Linked DNA regions of Caenorhabditis elegans. The protein of the gene in region 1 purifies or fractionates together with the protein of each later gene. This does not show direct contact. Each region holds a gene or a part of one and is shown in the gene's direction. Other genes may lie near its edges. The genes, in order: nol-16, nol-14, garr-1 and Y41D4B.11.

Region 1 (3,408 bases):
CGTGTAAATTTTATGAATAAGACTTAAATATATGATAATGAATTTATATAAATAAAACAAAAACAGAACATTAACAGTTACTTAATTAAAGGAGAAACCAGTAAACGAGGCAATAGAGGGGATGTAAGACGATTTTACAAAAAGTTTAAATTTCAGGATTTTAATTAACACACAAAAGGAGGACTAGAATTTTGAAAATATTCACATTGATAATATTTATTTTCTGCCCACAGTCCGGCGAATTGGGGAGGCCAAGAATCCGGCTGGATAGAGCATGCGGTAGGTCACAAACCAGCAAACGACAGCGGCCACAGCTCCGAGAATCTGAAAAATAGGGAAATTGAGTAATTAAATTTTTGAAGAATACAAATTGTTATTCTGAGATGCAAAATATGATTACCTCTTCAATGAAGATATGATAATAAAGAACGGAGATGATAATTTGCTTGAACCAGAATGCATGAAGGAACAACATTGCGACGAAGAAATATTGAATGCATCGAGTCAAACGATCATGTTCTTCACGATCACCGTCCATTTGATGAACTGCATCAGTTACTTGTTGATAATGACGGTAAGCAATCGCCTGTAAACATTCCCATATTGTTTTCTGAAACCTTTTTTTCTTTATACCTCCTCAGTGATAATCAGAATACTGTAGATCATCAAGAAGCAGTGACCTGAAATATCATATCCTGGCGTCCAGACACCTTCTTTTTCGGAACACTGAGCACGAGTCAGAGTACGTCCTTTGTCACACATTGAGGTTAGTGCAAGAACTTTGTGGAAACTGAAAACTTTTTCGTTTAAGTAAGAATTATTGCATAAAGCTTACAATTGCACAGAAAAGTACCAACACGCGGTTCCCACTCCAAGACGGCACACATCAACGATTGGTTGATCACGATCACGACGATTGTGAGCTTTTGAAGAGAACCTGCAAACTTTATGGTTTTCGAAACAAAAATATTTGCATATTATAACAAAATACTAGATTCTGATTAACTTCTGCAAGAAAAGAGAGAAACATTAACTTATCCCTCACATCAGTGTCATTAAAATTCAAGAATACTTACCAAATAAATGGACCAACGATGACAAGTGTCCAAAACCATCCCATTTTTACTCCATATTGATTCAGAACACTGTGCTTTTGGACCAAATAATACGTGGAATCTAGTTCAATACGGGACTCGATGAAAGAGAGCACAGTCACAAAAGCCAGATAGAAGAGGGCAACTTTTCGAGCATCGATGAACAGAATTTGACGAGCGATCTGCAATATTGAAATTTTATATTTAAAACGATTAAACTTTCTCGTTTAAATTTTATTTTGAAGAATATATACTTACAGCAACGAAAATCCCGAGTGCAGCATTCGGCGTGCTATTTGGGGAAGCTGGTCGCTTTGTTGTGGAGTCTCTGAAAAATCAACTCATTTTGTCAAAAACAATTATAGTTCAAACATACGCTCTTGTAGAACTACGCCTTGTTGACATAATTATCTGTAAAATTGATTAATTAATAACCTATGAAAACTGAAAAAGAAGACTATCACACGTCGAATTAATCGGAAAACCCGAGAAAGTGTCAATTAAATGGAGAAAACTAGTCCGGCGGGTTTATTGACGAATATTGCGATTTTTAAAGCACCAATTAGTTTTTATGAGAACATAATAATATTTTTTCTTCATTGAAAACAAAATTGTATTAAAAATATATAACATTTAACAAAGAATTGTGTTGTTAAAATAATTCTCGACGAAAAAAAAAACAAACTGACGGTGGCCTAGAATCCGACAACTCATCAAGTTTCTCTTCCATTTCGTCCTGAAATTTTTTCGAAGAATCTTTCCCTATTTTCTCGGTTTTACTGTTTTTCCTCTGATTGTATTGTATTTATTTCGAAATTTTATTGTTTTTCAGAAAAAATGGCACGTGATGTAAAGAAGAGAGGAAAGCCAGCGTATACAAACCGCAGAAACCGACAAAAATATCTCAAGAAGAAGGATAACAAGAAAAAATTATCGAAAAGTGCAGTGTGAGTTAATTTTTGTCTATTTTTCCATTTAAATAGTGACTTGCAGGCCAATTATCAAATACACATGGGATGAAACTAAGACTCCTCGAGAAAACGTCCGCGACATGGGTATCGCATTTAATCCAAATGACGCGGTTCCAATCGCTGAACACAGAGTAGGTTATCGATTTTTTCAAGGCGTTGTGCATTGACGGAACTTAATTGCGCACTTTGTCTTGCGGAAGTCCAAATTAAATTTCATGCTCATTGATTCATAATTTTGAATTTTCAGAAAGAGATCATCGACGCGGAGCCAATTGACGGTGTCAGTATTGTTGTTCCCAAACCGGAAAAGAAAGTTACTGGAAGAAAAAAGAATGAGAAACAGGTAAAATTTAATCATAGTTGGTAGTAAATAACGCTAAAGTTTTAGTTTCTGAAAAAAGCAGGTCCGATGAATCGGTTTCTAAATATTTAATTCAATTGTTTTAATTCTGTTATTATTTCCAGGCAGCACACATTATCTCAAATCTGGAACAGCAAGTGAAAGAAGAAGAGGAAGCTCGAGCTGGACAAGACCGGAAATTCCGACTTTTCCATAGAGAAACCGAGCTTTGTGTCTACATGCTGGCTCGTCACGGCGAAGATTTTCAAGCAATGACTCGTGATCCGAAGAATTTATGGCAATACACACCGAAGCAGTGGGCGAAGAAGATCCGTACACACAAAGAGTCCGAGATGTGTAAATTCCTCGAAACTGCATAAGACTGTTTTTCAAAATTTTTTGATACTTTTGTTTGAGCTTTTATTGTTATTGTTGATACTGTTATGGGGGACTTTTGTTCCTTTACAAATAAAATCAAAAATTATTAACATTCATTGTGTACATTTCAGATATATTAAGCAGCTCTTCAGAGATTAATATTTGGCATTAATTTTCGGTTTTCTCAAAGATCCAGTGCGCATCTTTCCTCGACAAGCACCATCTCCTTCCAGTTGCCTCTCGAAAATCTCAAAATACATGTCACTCTCCCGGTCCATTTGAGGGCGAAGCTTTCGAATATCAACCTAAAATTTCGAACTTACACAATTTCAAAGAAAAAAAACCAGGATAAACGGGGGATTTTGCTTTAAAAAATCCAAAGTTGTTTTACTATTAAATTCAGAAATAACAAAAAGAAAAACTAAAAAAAATGACGACAGAGTGAAAAATCCAACTTTTAAAAACTTGATTTTGCAATTTTGGCTAAATTCTCTGTTTGAACTTCCTCGGAAATGAAAACTGCGACCAATCATCGATTCGCTTCGCCCACTTTTGAACCAATCAGATGTTCGAAGACGCTGATTGGTTCGAAAATGGGCGTGGCATCTCATTTTGGAGGAAGTTC
Region 2 (7,963 bases), 7.9 Mb from region 1:
TCTTCAGAACGCCTTCACCAGTGAAGTGTCCCTCGTAGTACTGTCGCTGGCTGACCATCGACAGAAATTCCAGCGCGGCGCACACCATCGTATCGTATCGAGTGTCGGGGCCGGTAGACTTGAGCAGATTCCAGACGGCAAGGATGATGTCGGGCACGAACTCGGAGATCTCCTCCTCGTAGCGTTGCGAGTAGAGCGTGAAGATCTCACAGATCTCGTGCTTAAGCTCGTCCAGAGTTGTAGGTTCTCCCGAGTTGGAGGTCTGCGTCGGCGCGTCGATTTGCACGAGATGCAAGAAGTGTGGCATCCAGTCCTTGAGATGATCCTCGAAGTATTCCGGAATCTCCTGTGAGCACAGAGAATGGTAGACTTTTGCAATGAGAAGTAAGACTCGGAGCCATTGGGCGATCTCGTCGGCTCCGAGTTGATCCTTCCGCTGTCCCACCTCCATCATGTTCCGTAGCAACAGAGTTAGAGGCTCTTGGGTCTGAAAAATCGGTTCTTTTTATTTGTAACTGAAAAATCTGGGGAGAAAACAGTTTTTCGGTCCAAATTCGAGACTGACATTCAGATTTCTTCAATTTTTTGGCTCAAAAATTTTGAAAATTTGTCCATTTTTATAGGAAAATTATCAATTTTCGCCAAAAATTCCTCATTTTTGCTTTAGTTAAAATTTTTGACTAAAAAATCATAAAATGTTGAATTTTTCACGATTTTTCGGAAAACAAGGCCAGCTTTAGCTAGCTTAAATGTCTAATTTTGGTCATTTTTTAGGGTCAAAGCGGACAAAAATTCAACTTCCGACGGCTGCGACGTAAAAAAGTGGCCAAAATTGGGGATTTTAGCTGAAATTAGCCAAATTTTGAGCCAAAACGCAACTCACGCTCAGTAGACACTTCTTCAGCTCTTTCCAAAGCTCTGCTGACTTGGATTCGAATCGGAATTTGCGGAAAATCTGCTCCATCGACGCCAGCGAGGCCACCAGGTGATTGAGATCCGCTCCGTTCAGGAATTTCGACAAATATGGAACCAAATCTGGCCATTTTTCGGGAAAATCTCTCTGAGCGATGAGATACAGAGCATTGGACAGGATTTCCTGAACATTTGATTTTGTATTGAACATCGCTTCGAGAAGCATGCTTCTGAACTGCTCCTCGTCTTCCTGGCCCATTTCTACCTCTGGTGCCGGGCCCTGAAACAATTTAAATATAAAATTCACGCATTTATTCAAATTTTCCAACCCAATTTCTCTTCACAAAATTTTTCAAAGCGACAGCCGCGGCGATTCGGATCTGCGGAGCAATTTGTTGCTGTTCGTTGACCACCAGTTGAAGAATTTGAATGATATAGCCTGGATTTGATTGCAGCGAGCGGAGCGCTTCTTCTCCACGCTTGCGAATCGCAGCATCCGGCTCCAGAGTCTGCTGGAGAGCTGCTCCGATTTGCTCCATCTGAAAATAGGGAAAAATAGCTGTTTTGGGGGTGAAATAGGGAAGAATTAGGTGAAAGGACAAAGATAGTTTAGCTTAAAACTTGAAATCTAAAATTTCCGGTCAAAATATTAAAGTTTTACGCAATTTTTCGCAGGCCCGCGGGGAATAAACTCGCAAAAATTCGCAAAAATAAAAAAAAAATTTCAAAAGTGTGAAGTGTTTGCGTACAGCGCACCCGACCCGACGCGCAAATTTTTTTCATTATGTTCTCTGTTTTCACTGATTTTTACTGATTTTTCCTAGTTTTCCCTTGATTTTCTTCAAATTTTCCACTTTTTCAGCAAAACGTGCATAAAAAAATAAATTAAAACATTTCAATTTTCAAAACTTTGCAAAATAAAGGCGTCGTTGCGTACAATGCGCACGACTTGACGCGCAAACTTCCCAATTTTTATTCTTAAATTTTCCTGGATACCCCTGGTTTTTTCTCTGTTTCCCCCCTAATTTTTCGCATTTTCAGCAAACATGGGTGTTGATAAAAAGCAAAAGCAACGAAAAACCAATCCATTCGAGCTAAAATTCAACAAATCCAAGCATGACGTGAGTTTTTCAGAGTTTTGAAGAAAAAATCGATTTTCTCGCAGATTCTCGGCCGGAAAAAGGGCGCACAAGTTGGAGCACCGACTGCGTCACGAAAACGAGCTCACGAGCAACGTGAACAGACGCTAGGCGTAGAATATGACCGGAAAAATAAGATTAGCAAAATTGTCGACAAACGGCTCGGCGAAAAGGACGGAAAAAGCGAGGAGGAGAAGGGCGCGATGAGATTCACAGAGGAAAGAGTCAAAAATTATAAAAGAGCATCGAAATTCAACTTGACAGATGATGGAGATGAGGAGGAAGAAGGTTTATTCCGAAATAAATTGAGAAAAATTTTAATAAAGTAAATTTCAGTACTTACTCACAAGGGAAAAGCGCTCTCGGACATTGAAAAATACGACAAATCGATGATTTCCGACTCGGATGACGATGAAGAGCCGGGAAATTTGGGCTCAAATATGGTAAAAGTGGCTCATTTCGGTGGTGGAGAGAAGACCGCCGAGGAGCACGTCCGCGAAAAAATCAGCCGAGAGGATATGATTTCGAATTTGATTGCGAAAACGAAGCTGGCGCGTCACGAGAAGCAACAGCAGAAGGATGAGCTCGAGCTGATGACAGAGTCGTTGGATTCCAAGTATCAGGCTTTGATGGGCAAAATGAAGGCTTCATTTAGGCCGACCGGGCGCCAGCCGCTGGAAAAAGATGATTACGACAAATTGGTACGGGAAACATCCCGGTTTTCTCCAAATTTTTAAGATAAAAGATAATTATAAATTTAGAGTGAAAATCGATTTTTTTCACAATTTTTTAGTGGAAAACCTAAAACCCAAAAAACTTGATCTGAAAATGCTAATTTTTAACCATTTTTGCTATGGAAATTGGAAATTTTCATTAATTTTGCTGTAAAAGTTGAAGAAATCCAAGTTTTAGCTTTGTAATCAGAGAAAACACTGTAAAATTATTTCGGAATTTGTGCAATTTGAAGTGAAAAATAAAACATTTAACTTCTTATCGCGAAAGAAATTGAGCTGAACTGAGAATTTTTTTGACGAAAAATCATTAAAAAGTCAATTTTTTTGACAAAAATTCGAGAAAAGTCGGTTTTTCTTTTGACAAAAATGACGAAAAAGGCAATTTTTAATTTAAAAAAATAAATTTTTCGCCGAAAAATAACTTTAAAAAAGTCGTTTTTTTACAAAATAAAACAATTTAAAATAACTATTTTTCGACAAAAAAATTAAGAAAAAGCCAATTTTTTTGTTTAAAAAATGATAGAAAAAGGCTTTTTTTTTGTTTCTTCGCCTAAAAAATCAAGAAAAATAGGTTTTATTCCATTTTTTATCCAAAAATTATTATTTTTCCAGACAATCACCTTGAAAACCGAAGCCGACGCTCGTGCCACCCCAGCAGATCGTAAGCTATCCGAAGAAGAAGAAGCTCTGAAAGAAAAAGAACGTCTGGAAACTCTCGAGGCCGCCCGTATCTCGAAAAATAATGCATTTTTCAACGCAAAATCTCATTTATCAGCCGATGCCGACGTTGATATCGATGCTGGATCGAAGGCCGACGCCAGAAAAGTTCAGGCGAAAAATTCGAGATTTGAGGTCAAATTTGACGATGAAGGTGGCCTGATCGATGAGGATACGGTGGAAAAATCCAGGATTTTAAAGAAAAATCTGGATGGTTCTGATGAATCTGACGATGACGAGGATCTAGAAGATGAGGAAGAGGATCTGGATGATCTACTGGAAGATGAGGATGAGCTGGAAGAAGATTCCGATGATGAGGAAGCTCAGGAAGCCCAAAAAGTCGTCAAAAAAGCGAAAAAATCTGCTCCAGAACCCGCTGAAACTCTGCCATTCGTATTCGAAATGCCGAAAAACTATAAAAAATTCTGTGCTCTTCTGGAAAAACACTCGGAATCGATGGATTTAGTGCTGGAACGACTCGTGAAATGTCATCATCCGAGCCTTAAAGAAGGAAATAAGAAGCGTCTGAATAAGCTTTTCCTCTTGTGTTTAAGATGGTTTGATGATATGTCGAAGGAGGAATTGACAGCGGAAAGTGTGAAGGAAATGAATTTAGCGCAGGAAACTATGCATGCGTTGATGAAGGTAGCGATTGGATGGAAAAGCTGAAAAATTACCGCACTTTTTAATCTGAAAATTGAAAAAATTCGAGAATTTTTGACCTAAAATTTTGAAAAATTCCCGATTTTTATACCCCAAAAATTGCAAAAAAGTCCCGATTTTTTACCAAAAAATGTTTTAAAATCCCCGAATTTTTTACCTAAAAATTGCAAAAAAGTTTCGATATTTAGACCCAAAAATTGCAAAAAAGTCCCGATATTTTTACCAAAAAATGTTTTATAATCCCCGAATTTTTGACCTAAAAATTGCAAAAAAGTCTCGATTTTTAGACCCAAAAATTGCAAAAAAGTCCCGAATTTTTTACCAAAAAATGTTTTAAAATCCCCGAATTTTTGACCTAAAAATTGCAAAAAAGCCGGTTTTTTTACAAAAAAATGTTTTAAAATCCCCGAATTTTTGACCGAAAAATTGCAAAAAAGTCTCGATTTTTAGACCCAAAAATTGCAAAAAAGTCCCGAATTTTTTACCAAAAAATGTTTTAAAATCCCCGAATTTTTTGACCTAAAAATTGCAATAAATTCCAAAAACTTTGGCCAAAAAATTAAAAAAAATACCCGAATGTTTGACCCAAAAATTGCAAAAAAGCCCCGATTTTTTGAGAAAAATCATGTGAAATTAAAACCTTTTTTTTTTGAAAATCAGTCTCGAAAAAAAAAAGAAAAACCAGGAAAATCATGAAAATTTAAGAAAAAAATCATTAAAAATAGGAAACGATCATGGAAATATTTTTAAAGAAACATTATATAAAAAATCATTAAAATTTCAGAAAAAAAATATGGAAAATCCTGAAAATAAAGAAAATAATATTAAAAATTCAGATTAAAAAACGCAAAAAATTCAACAATTGAAAAAAATTTCAAATTGTTTTTTGCAGTTCGACATTCAATACGGAGTCCGATGTGTGCGTGCTCTAATCCGTCAACACTGGAAAGGCCGCCAGGATAAACAGAAGAGTAGCCCAGTGTCATTTGGATTAATCTCTGCAATTCGTCTTGTTTCCGGCCTCTTCCCAGTTGCCGATTCCTGGCATCCTGTAGTGGTTCCGGCTCTTTTTTTGGCAACTGAAGCACTTTGCTCGGCGAAATGTGCCAATTTGAATGCGTTGGCTAAACAAATTCAATTGGCTAATGCTATTGTTGAATATGTGTCTGAATCCAAGAGGTAATACTTGGAAACGAACATTTAAATAGGCAAATTTTGAAAAAAATACTGAAAGCTTTGATATAAAATAGGAAAAGTAACGAAAAAAAAAGCCAAAACCACCAAAAATATTATTTTCAAAAGCTAACTCAAAAAATTTAAAATTCAGAATTGTCGCTTAAAAAAATCTATTTTTTTCGATATCGAAAAAAGATTACTATAAAAATTCAAAAAAGCAATTTTTTAAAATATAACTTGATTTTTTTTTCTGAAGTTCATTTTTTAACAAATAATTGCATTAATTTTCCATTTTAATGTTAAAAAAAAGCGAATTTTTCAAAAATTGATATAAATTTTGTTTTGGCAATTTTTAGATCAGAAAACATTGAAAAAATACAAAAATCCCGTTTTTTTTTAAATTAATTTTTTAGAAAAAATTGCAATTTTTCAAAAATCTTCCGGTCATTTCTCTATTTTTAAAAAATCTCTCGTCTCTTTTAAAAAAATTTAAAAAACCGAATTATCGAAGCGTATCAAAATTTTGAAATTAAAAAAAAAACCGAACTCCATTTTTACGAAAAATCCGAAAGTTGAAAATTGTTTTCAATAAAATAAATTTCAGATACGTCCCCGAGCTGGTCGCATTTGCTCGAAGTGCTCTTCTGCTTGCAGTTACAGAGAAAAGTGAGAAATTCGCGACAAATGGATTCCCGATTTCCAAGCCACACACGGAAATGTTATGCTTTGAGGAGAAGGTAAATTTATAAAATTTGTTTTTTTGAGCAAAAAATTGGTTTTTTTTTTTGGTTTTCTCTTTAAAAAAATTTGCTTAAAAACGCTCAATATTTAAAAAAAAAACTGGCAAAATCGAATTTTATAATATAAATTAAAAATTTTGTTCAAATAAAAATGATTTTTTTTTGAAAATTTAGTTTTGAAAAATTTAAAATTAAATTTTAAATTTTCACAAAATTGCCAATGATAAAATGTTCACTTTTTCTTGTATAAAACTGCTTGAAATTTTTTAAAAGCAATTTTCCGAAAAATAATTTTTTAATAGATTTCTGAAAAACCGAAAAACCACCGATTGAAAAACGAAAATCAAGTTTTTTTCCGAATTTTCTATTTTTAACAAATTAAATATCAATTTTGCACATACAAAACGGTTAAAAAAAAACAAAAAAAATTGCCGAGAGCCAAAAAAATTTAAGTTTCAGCGATTTTGAAATTTTTTTTTTAGGAAACACGGTCTCCTCGGGTGGAAACGAAGGGGGAGGGAGATTGCTTGCGCGTTTCACCGATGCGCCTTTCGCGTGCTGGCGCACTTCTGAATATTGAATTATTTTTGCGGAAAAAATTCATTTCTTCTATGAAATTTTCTTGAGAAAGCAAAGGAAAGATGATGAAATGAATTTTTAAAATAGTTTTCTCAGTTAAAAAGAGAATACCTTGCTGCAAAAGGTTAAATTTATTGAAAAATTGAGAAAATAAGAAGTTTATCTTTGTTTTCACTACATAAAGTGGGGAAATCTCAAAAAAATTTGAAGACAATTAAGAAATATAATTAAATATATAGCCTGAAAGTCAAATAAGAAATGAAGGTTTGGTCACAAACAATTTTATTTTTGAATTGAAGTTTTGAGAAATGATCATGTGCCAGAATCACTAAATCTGAGACATTCAGCCCAATTTCTTTAATTTTCTGTGATTTTATCATGGAAGTGTGGCTTTTTCTGTGATCTTGCCAGTTTTAACAAGTTGAAATTGGAAAATCGTGAAGTGGGAAACTAGCAGTGAAGCTTCCAAAAATTTCAAGCCTTACTGAAAGGAAAGTATTGGAAACTAAAAACGAAAGCTTAAGAAGATACCGTTTTTATATATTTGAGTTTTGAAAAGCCTTAATAGGTTTTAAATACAGTTTTCTCAAGAATTCAAACTTGTAACGATTAAGTTGAGGCACAGAATAAGATGGTAATACTAAGTTATGTTGAAAAAAGCCAAGAAAGACTGAAAACATTGCTTTCAATCTGATTTTTTGTAAGTAATGTAATGTTGAAACATTATTCTTCATAGTTCAGCACTTTGTATGGCTTATTTGAGCCCAAACGTACAGTAGTATGTGGCAAGAAATAAAATATTGTGCCAACAAAATTGGAGCCGAAAAACCCATGATAAAATGTTTAATACGTGTATTGCTCTAATAAAATACCAAATATTAATTAGATTCACTGTCTCGACTCTTTTTAATTCAGATTAATAACTTTTAGCTCCTCTTTTTAACGAAAAATTATAACTGGATTTCACAAAAAGAGTTCGATCTGAGTTCTTTCAACAGGTACATAGACGAATTATATCTTAAAATGACGAGAAAAGTTTGCTCTATAAACGTTATCATTGCAGGTTATGAGAAAAACAAATAAAAATTTAATTTTAAAAAATCCGAAAATTCAGTTGTTATTTTCAAACAGTTCGTTATGCATTTCCACCGAACGGTTTCCGATAATTTTTGTTTCTCCACTTTCGGTTCAGTCTACTTTATAATTGTTATCATTTTGAAATAGAAAAATCGACGAAAAACTAATAAAAATCGAGGGAAATCACTCTTCAACGGTGAAATCTCGGTGGACGCAATGAAGCTGC
Region 3 (3,222 bases), on another chromosome or scaffold:
TTTTGGGCCTGTGTTAGTCCTCCTTCAATAGAGTCCTCATGATTTAAAATTTCAGGGCAATCACGTTCATTCGGAAATTTTAGAGCCACAGAAGTGATGAAAAATAACCTCTCTGCAAAACGGAGCCATTAATTCGAGACTCGGCGGATGATGATCAGTCATATCGAAGCAAATAACATTTCCATCGAAGTTATCCGCATCGTAGTAGTATCCACCGCGCAGGTTAAACACCTTCACGTTGCCCTTTCCGTGCCGCCTGGTCAGAAATTGTTGAGTTTGAACTTTTGAGTTACGGAAATTCGCTTCGATTCCTGTTGCTGGATAACCGATAGCTATGATTCGGTCTGTGATATCTGAAAGTTTTGAAAATTGAAATGCTTTGAACTCAAGAGAAGTGCCTTACATGCACAATCTAGGTCGATATTTTGGTACTCGGTGCGACAACGATTGGAAGATACAGCCGTCCGAAAAATATGGCGAATCCGCTCGACGATTGAATTGTGATACGGTTCAGACACACGTGGTTCACCAGGTTGTCGGTTTGGATTCTCTTGAAGGTCACGAGCCATCGACCTGGTCGATGTGCTTGGCACATCTGGAGGAGGAGTAACCATTGGGGGTTAGTAGATGTACCTGGAAACTGCAAATTCATGAAGAGGAACGAATTAGAAGAGAATTTCAGCGAATTTTATAATTTAAACATTGTCAGGTGAAGTGTGATAGAATAGAATGCCAAATGAGCGCAAAGGATTAAGGGATTAACTAGCTCATGCTAAAGCTCAGATTTGTTCACGCAGAGAGCTCAGACCCGAGAGATACGAGAGGAGCAGAAAGACAGACTACATTTCCTCGTTAAGAATGAGCTGAAAAAGAGCTAGAAATCCGTTGAAAATCGCCAATATGCGTATTTTCGACTTAAAAAAAACAAGACTGATTTATTAGAAAATAATACCCGCCAGCGCCAATAGTAGAAGATCATATGAAATCATTTGATCAAAAAAGCAAAATTTTGGTCTACTGATTTATGAGCATTTTCAACCAAGAAATAGGAAGATTTCGGATATTTTTATAACCTACGTGTGGAAAATGTTTATTTGTATTGAAAAATCAAGAAAAAATGAATAAAAATTGTCGAAAAAGCAGATAAACACCGAAAAAGATCGGTTTCGCGGCGAAAAAACAAAATCCAAAAAATGTCTCTTAAAGGCGCACGCTAATTCAAACGGCACGGGTCTCGCCACGAACGCCTCTCTTCTCACTGCATTTTTCTCTTCTCTTCGATTTTTTTTTCGATATTTTTTAACGTTTTCCAATAGTTTTTATTGATTTTCTTGTTTAAAAACTGGCAAAAAACGAAATAATCGTTATTTATAAGTTGTATTTAGAGTCTAAAGTTTGTATAGTGCGATGAAATTCTTCGAAATAGGCGAAAATCAATTTCTTGTGATTTTCTTAATTTTCTCATATTTAGAAAATTGAAATTTCTGTGAATATTATGTACAAGAAAACCCCTTTTTGTTTTGCAATACCAATTTTTTCTATTGAATTTCTCAACAAATATATTTTTATGTCCAGTTTGATTTTATTTTGCACTTGAATAACTTTAAAGTTCAAAAATTGTTTGACATTTCAGAAATGAGTTTCCGTGGTGGACGTGGAGGCGGTGGTGGATTTCGAGGTGGTCGTGGTGGCGGTGGAGGCGGTGGATTCCGTGGAGGTCGCGGCGGTGACAGAGGTGGTGGCTTCCGTGGAGGACGCGGTGGATTCGGAGGGGGCGGCCGTGGAGGTTACGATCAGGGACCACCAGAGGAAGTTGTGCTCGTCGGTGTCTTCTCCCATCAGTGCCAAGATGATATTGTTTGCAACAATACGAGTGGAAAAATCCCATATTTCAATGCTCCAATTTACTTCAAGAATAAGGAACAAGTCGGAAAAATCGACGAGATTTTTGGATCCCCCGGGGAGAACGTAAGTAATCTCTTAATTGAAAATTAATCATAAATTTATTCGCTGCAGGGATTCTCCGTCACATTGTCACAAGGAGTAAAAGCCTCTTCATTCGAACCAGAGTCTCAGCTGTACATTGATCCCGGAAAGCTTTTACCAGTTGATCGTTTCCTTCCACAAGCCGGCGGAGGGCGTGGAAGAGGTGGTCGCGGACGCGGTGGGGATCGTGGAGGACGTGGCAGTGACCGTGGAGGTCGTGGAGGCTTTGGAAGAGGCGGCGGCGGTGGATTCAGAGGCGGGGATCGCGGAGGTTTTGGCGGTGGTCGTGGAGGATTCCGAGGCGGAGACCGTGGAGGGTTCCGTGGTGGCCGTGGAGGAGACTTCGGAGGTCGCGGACGTGGAGACTTCAAACGATCATACGATGGTGGAAGTTTCGGAGGACAGAATAATAAGAGAACTAAATTCGAATAATTGTTTCTTCTCTAAAAAACTGTATGTTCCAATTGTTTTCATCCTTTTTTTTTACCAATTGTTGATTTTCTTTGTTTTCCTTTTCTCATCTGCCCTCATTTTTTGATCACTTTTTTGTTGAACTTGTTGGTATTTTATACACATTATAATAATCATATAATTTAGTTATTTTATTTCACTAATCACACAGCGCTCTGAGGCAAGCATTTTTGGCGAATAAAATTTGGAGTTCGCATTTAAGCGCGCTTTGATATATCGTTCTTATAACATTTTTTAATCGCCGCAACCAAGTTCCAGCCATTAATTTGACAGATTACACTGGAAAATTATATATTTAGCTTGAGAACAAAATCTAGAAAGTAGTAAAGTAGCAATTAGCAATTGAAATTTTGCAATACAGGTTAACTTTTGAAATTTGAAATTTTAACAGAATAGAGCTCTCAATCAAAACGGCTGAAGATAAAAATAATTCTGAGCGATTTTCATTGTTCTAATCTCAGCAGTGTACATACTGTACCACGCCACAAAAGGCGGGGCCTAAATATGAGGTTTTCTGCAGTACACGCCACGCAGTTTTCTTATTTTGAGTGTATTGCGCAACATACTTGACGCGCAAAATATCTCGTAGCCAAAACTACAGTAACTCTTAGAAGGACTACTGCAGTAGCTACTGTAGCTTTTGTGTCGATTTACGGGCTCAATTTATTATGGTGCGTCCATAGTCTGCGGAAAACGAAAATTTCCCGCGACCCGAGGCGTCCATAGTATGCGGAAAAATTGAGCGAGTTTCTCGCTTCGTTATTG
Region 4 (5,300 bases), on another chromosome or scaffold:
AGAAAAAGTTTAGGTTTTGTATTCCCGTAATCCATCATATTGCATTGCCCACTTTCACCGCTGCTTGCCCACTGAATACATGATTTTTTTACTTGGAAATTGTTTTAGCATCTGCAAAAAATATTTATTTATCAGTTTTATTAAGAAAAAACGAAAAAAATCGATGAAAAACAAAAGAAAACAGGCGGAAAACAAAGCAAGATAAATGGCCGCTGAAACTTGTCGGCCCCTCGGCCATGGCCTAGAAACCACTTTTCCTCGTCCCTCGTGAGGAAAAAGTTGCAGTGCCGTTGTTGACGTATTTTTAGAGTTTTTTAGGGAAAATTTCGGGAAAAAAACCTCGAAAAAGACACAATTTTTACGGAATGTATTATTCCTTATTCGGTTTTTTTGTTTGAAACAGGTATTTTTTGTAAATCTTCCGGAAAAGTTTTTCAAAAACCTTCAAAAATACGTTTTTTTAGAAATTCTATGTCATTTCATTCATTTTTTGGATAAAATTTCAGTTTTTCAAAAAAAATTCAAAAAAAAAACCATGAAAATTCACTTTTCAGTATTTTTTTAGAAGAACGTTCGGAAAAAAACGAATTTTCGAAATTTTAAAGAAAAAATTTTTGGTAAAATTTGGAAAAAACTAATGAAAAATATGTATTTTTGACATATTTTTTGCAATTTTTCAGAAAAAAAAAACTTCGAAAAATACACAATTTTTACGGAAACCTTATTCGGTTTTTTTTGGTTGAAATTTCTCGAAAAATATTTTTTTTTAAAAATATATTATCATTTTTCGGATAAAATTTCAGTTTTAATTTCAATTTTTCAAAGAAAATTCACTTTTAATTTTTTTTTCTTCAAAATAGCTCAATTTTAAAGCCTATTTCAGTATTTTTTGGAAGAACGTTCGAAAAAAAAGGAAAAATGATTCATTTTCGACGTATTTTTCGAAGTTTTTCATAACAATTTTCAATTTTTAGGCTTATTTCAGTCATTTTTTGAATAAAATTTCGAAAAAAACGAAAAAACTAATGAAAAATATGTATTTTTGACGTATTTTACGAAATTTTCAGAAAAAAACCAAAGAAAATCATGTTTTTCCAAGAATTTTTGGCGAATTTTTCGAAATTTTCTCAAATCGCTGCGACACCCATCGTGTTCCTTTAATCTTGTGTCGATTTACGCAGTGTATTTTTCCGAGTTTTCACCAAATTTCAAGTCATTTTAATGGAAAATAATCAATTTTTAATATTTCAGCGACATTGTACGTGGCGAGGAGTTGTGCTACGATTACGGACATTCGGCGATAGAAGGGGAAAATCGAAAATTGTATGAAAAATTTGAATTTTTTCACGATTTTACCAATATTTTTGTAATTTCAGGTGTCTGTGCAAGTCGGAAAAGTGCCGAAAGTACCTTCCAATGTCAGCAACGCCGATTGAATGAAAATTTTCGAAAAATTGGCGAATTTTCAATAAAAATATGTGTAAAAATATTTTTGTCTTCATTTTTTTGTCAAAAAAATTTGGTTTTGAAACCATTTTTAATATATTTTACTGATTTTTTTTCCGTTTTTGTGCAATTTTTCGTCTATAGATGGCTCAACATCGTCGAATTCCGAAAAAGAATCGGAAGAAGCTGAAGTCGGTGGATCCGTTCAACAATAAGGCAAATGCCGCTCGATTTAAGGATAAGAACAAGTGTGTGCTGAAAATTTGATGGAAAAAAAACGTTAAAATAGCTCAAAAATTCGAGTTCAGAGCAGAAAATGACGCAAAATTGGAAAATTTCAAAAATTAAAAAAAAACCCATTAAAATCTAATAATTTCAAAAAAAAAATTAACGAAAAATTGTAGAAAAACCTAATTTTTTTCGTAATTTCTAAGTTAATTTGTTAAATTTTTAATCCAAATTTGCTGCACAAAAACAAAAAAAATCCAAAATTTTAAGCCAAAATTATATTAAAATAGGTTATTTCCCTGATTTCTATCGGGTTTAGAAACATTTTTACTTGAAAAATTTGGAAAAAAATTGTTAAAATCCATAATTTTTACCATTTTTTTGCGTATTTTTAATGCAAAAAATATTGCGTTTTCAAATAAATTTATATGATATTTCAGGGCTAACTATAAAGCCGCAAAATTCAATTTGAGAAAAAAAAAAGACAAAAAATCACATAAAAAATAAAAATATCAGAAAATAAGCGAATTTACCAAATTTTTTGCCCGAAAAATGCCAAAAATTTGAAATTTTGGAAGCAAAAAATCACAAACTTTCATGTTTTTTTGTAGCAAAAAAATACATTTTTAGACGAAAAATTCAAGTTTTAAAGTTTTTTTTTCAATAAAAAATTTTGCATTTTTGGATATCTGAAAATTTCATGGCGTTTTCGCAAAATGTGTACATTTTTCGCACTCACCTGCCTACCTACCTGCCCTCGTTTTAAACGAAAAATTCAAGTTTGAAAATTTTTTTTTCCTAAATGTTTGGAATATTCGGCCTAAAAATTCAAAATCTTCAATTTTCGTGGAAAATTTCAATGGAAAATGGAAAAAATGCACAATTGTCTCCATTTTTGCCCAAAAATACCAAAAATTTGCAATTTTGGAAGCAAAAATCAAAAATTTTCAAGTTTGCTTTTTTGCAAAAAAAAAAGTGAATTTTTAGACGAAAAATACAAGTTAAAAAAAAAATTTTTTTTTCAGAAAAATGGCCAAAAAAAACATTTAAAAAACCAAAAAAATAGATTTTTACCCATTTTTTCTCTCAATTTTATAATTCCAGAAATTCGAATCAAGCTCCCGTGAGCCTGAAAGACGAGCAACCACTGACAAAAGCCGCCAAAAACCTGATGGGCTCCGGAATTACGACAAAAGAGGAGGTGAAAAAGAAGAAAAAGCAAAAGAATGCCGTGTTGGCTCAAGCCGAAGAGCTCGGAATGAAAAAGGGAAAATTCGAGACTGTGAACAGATTTGTGAAACGAATCGAAGGAACTCTTCACTCGAGAATTAATGAGCAAATTGCGATTGCAAAGCATGGATTGGCTGGTAGAAAGCAGGAGGAAATTGATGCTGATTATAAAATTATTGAGGACGCTGAAAAACGGAAGAAGGAGCAGGAAAAGCGAGAAATTGAGAATAAAATCAAAGAAGCGAGAAAGAAACGAGAACAGGAAGCCCGACGGCTGGAAGAGGTGGAGAAGCTGAAAGAGCAGAAAAAAGCTGAAAAAAGGAAAATGAAGGAAGCACTGGAAAAAGAAGAGGAAGAAGAGAGCTTTGATGAGGATGAAGTCTCTGAAAAACGGGCAAAAATTGAGAAAAGTACTGAAAAAGGAGGCAGTGAAAAAGCGACGACGAAACTCAGCAAAAAAGACCGTAGAAAGGAGACGTTGAAAGCGAGAAAATCGGATGAACAGAAGCGACGTGCCGGCGAGGCGTTGATTAATTCTAGAGGTGCAATTTTTTGCAAAAAAATAGTCCAAAAAAATCTATAATTGCACTCAAAAAAGCTTGAAAACTTGAAAATTTCAGCCAGAAAATTGCAAAACTGCAAATTTTGTTAATTTTTCGTAAAAAAAAATGACGACAGTTTTATATTTTCACTGCAACTTTTTCCTCACGAGGGACGAGGAAAAGTGGTTTCTAGGCCATGGCCGAGGGGCCGACAAGTTTCAGCGGCCATTTATCTTGTATTGTTTTCCGCCTGTTTTCTTTCGTTTTTCACAGCTTTTTCCCGTTTTTTCTTATTAAAACTGATAAATAAATATTTTTTGCAGATGCTAAAAGAATTTCCAAGTAAAAAAATCATGTATTCAGTGGGCAAGCAGCGGTGAAAGTGGTCAATGTAATATGATGGATTACGGGAATACAAAACCTAAACTTTTTCTGAAACATGATACATATGATGCTTAGATGCTGTAATTACCTGATTTTCATAACGAGACCGCTGAAAAAGTTTTGAGATTTTCAAAATTCAACTTTTTGTGCGAAAATCTCGACTTTTTCACCAAAAAAGTTGAATTGTGGAAACCTCAAAACTTTTTCAGCGGTCTCGTTATGAAAATCAGGTAATTTCAGCATTTAAGCATCATATGTATCATGTTTCAGAAAAAGTTTAGGTTTTGTATTCCCGTAATCCATCATATTACATTGACCACTTTCACCGCTGCTTGCCCACTGAATTCACAATTTTTTTTACTTGGAAATTGTTTTAGCATCTGCAAAAAATATTTATTTATCAGTTTTAATAAGAAAAAACGGGAAAAAGCTGTGAAAAACAAAAGAAAACAGGCGGAAAACAAAGCAAGATAAATGGCCGCTGAAACTTGTCGGCCCCTCGGCCATGGCCTAGAAACCACTTTTCCTCGTCCCTCGTGAGGAAAAAGTTGCAGTGCTGTAAAATTTCAAAAATCAAAAAATTCCAGAAATAATCGAGTTTGGCGAACGAAACGACGCGCCACCAACATTCGGCGGAGCTCTTAAAAAGAAATTCGAGCCATTGATGGCAAAAGCCGGCCAAAAGACGACGCTTCTTCTTCATTCAATGCTCCAAAAAGGCGGCGGCCAGAAGACGGAATATTTGAATAATTCGACGAAAATTCAAGAGGAACGGCAGAAGGTCATCGACGCGTACAGAGATATGAAGAAACAGAAGAGAATTGCTGCCGCTTTTGCTGCTGCTGCTTCTTCTTCATCTTCTTAATTTTAACTTTTTTCACTGTTTTTGTTATTTCTTCATTGTTGTGTCCCATTGTTCTTTTTTTTCATTCAGTAAAAATTCAAAAATCATCGGGTTTCCGAGAAAAGTTCTCAAAAAAAAAAATGCAAAACACTCCTGAAAACTGAAATTTTAGATCTTTTTCTTGGTTTTCTCTGAAAATTTCAAATTTCCCGCCAACATTTTTTCTCAAGAAGTTTGAATTTTCCGCCAAAATGTTTTTTTTCTCATTTTCACACTTTTTTGACGGAATATTTCACTCAGATTCCCCGTGTTTTTCTCGTGAATTGCTGTAGTATTATTAAATACGAGAACACAACAAAATTCTGAGACTGCGTATTGCACAACAATTTTGACGCGCAAAATATCTTGTAGCGAAAACTACAGTAATACTTTAAATGGCTACTGTAGACCACTGGCCAGATTTTGTGTTGGTTTTTTTCCCATTTATGAATGGAAAAAAAAAATTGGAAAAAAAACGTCGAGAAATTTGTTTCAAAAAACTCGTGCCCGTAAATCGACACAAGCGGCGCTACAGTAGTAATTTAAAGAATTACTGTAGTTTTCGCTACGAGATATTTTGCGCGTCA

What was found.
Region 2: the proteins of nol-16 (region 1) and nol-14 fractionate together in Caenorhabditis elegans (co-fractionation; one large-scale study listed by BioGRID). This does not show direct contact.
Region 3: the proteins of nol-16 (region 1) and garr-1 fractionate together in Caenorhabditis elegans (co-fractionation; one large-scale study listed by BioGRID). This does not show direct contact.
Region 4: the proteins of nol-16 (region 1) and Y41D4B.11 fractionate together in Caenorhabditis elegans (co-fractionation; one large-scale study listed by BioGRID). This does not show direct contact.

Annotation. Positions count from the first base shown.
Region 1 is NC_003279.8:8,253,422-8,256,829, forward strand, and holds nol-16 (Nucleolar protein 16), read left to right. Parts: upstream 1-1,926; 5' UTR 1,927-1,931; coding exon 1,932-2,041; intron 2,042-2,087; coding exon 2,088-2,196; intron 2,197-2,312; coding exon 2,313-2,408; intron 2,409-2,530; coding exon 2,531-2,785; 3' UTR 2,786-2,891; downstream 2,892-3,408. Other genes in the region: fitm-2 (Acyl-coenzyme A diphosphatase FITM2), read right to left, coding at 217-324, 401-586, 634-790, 836-937, 1,077-1,276, 1,353-1,422, 1,471-1,499; sre-23 (Serpentine Receptor, class E (Epsilon)), read right to left, coding at 2,939-3,088.
Region 2 is NC_003279.8:321,902-329,864, forward strand, and holds the start of nol-14 (Nucleolar protein 14), read left to right. Parts: upstream 1-1,953; 5' UTR 1,954-1,958; coding exon 1,959-2,033; intron 2,034-2,077; coding exon 2,078-2,339; intron 2,340-2,387; coding exon 2,388-2,752; intron 2,753-3,397; coding exon 3,398-4,147; intron 4,148-5,057; coding exon 5,058-5,344; intron 5,345-5,945; coding exon 5,946-6,078; intron 6,079-7,963. Other genes in the region: xpo-2 (Exportin-2), read right to left, coding at 1-487, 884-1,192, 1,242-1,451.
Region 3 is NC_003282.8:424,535-427,756, forward strand, and holds garr-1 (putative H/ACA ribonucleoprotein complex subunit 1-like protein), read left to right. Parts: upstream 1-1,633; 5' UTR 1,634-1,635; coding exon 1,636-1,968; intron 1,969-2,016; coding exon 2,017-2,418; 3' UTR 2,419-2,670; downstream 2,671-3,222. Other genes in the region: Phosphatidylinositol 3,4,5-trisphosphate 3-phosphatase and dual-specificity protein phosphatase daf-18, read right to left, coding at 109-353, 404-614. UniProt on the Caenorhabditis elegans protein: Required for ribosome biogenesis. Part of a complex which catalyzes pseudouridylation of rRNA. This involves the isomerization of uridine such that the ribose is subsequently attached to C5, instead of the normal N1.
Region 4 is NC_003282.8:1,604,122-1,609,421, forward strand, and holds Y41D4B.11 (DUF1014-domain-containing protein), read left to right. Parts: upstream 1-1,590; coding exon 1,591-1,694; intron 1,695-2,778; coding exon 2,779-3,446; intron 3,447-4,417; coding exon 4,418-4,695; 3' UTR 4,696-4,780; downstream 4,781-5,300. Other genes in the region: putative histone-lysine N-methyltransferase set-23, read left to right, coding at 1,252-1,323, 1,377-1,440.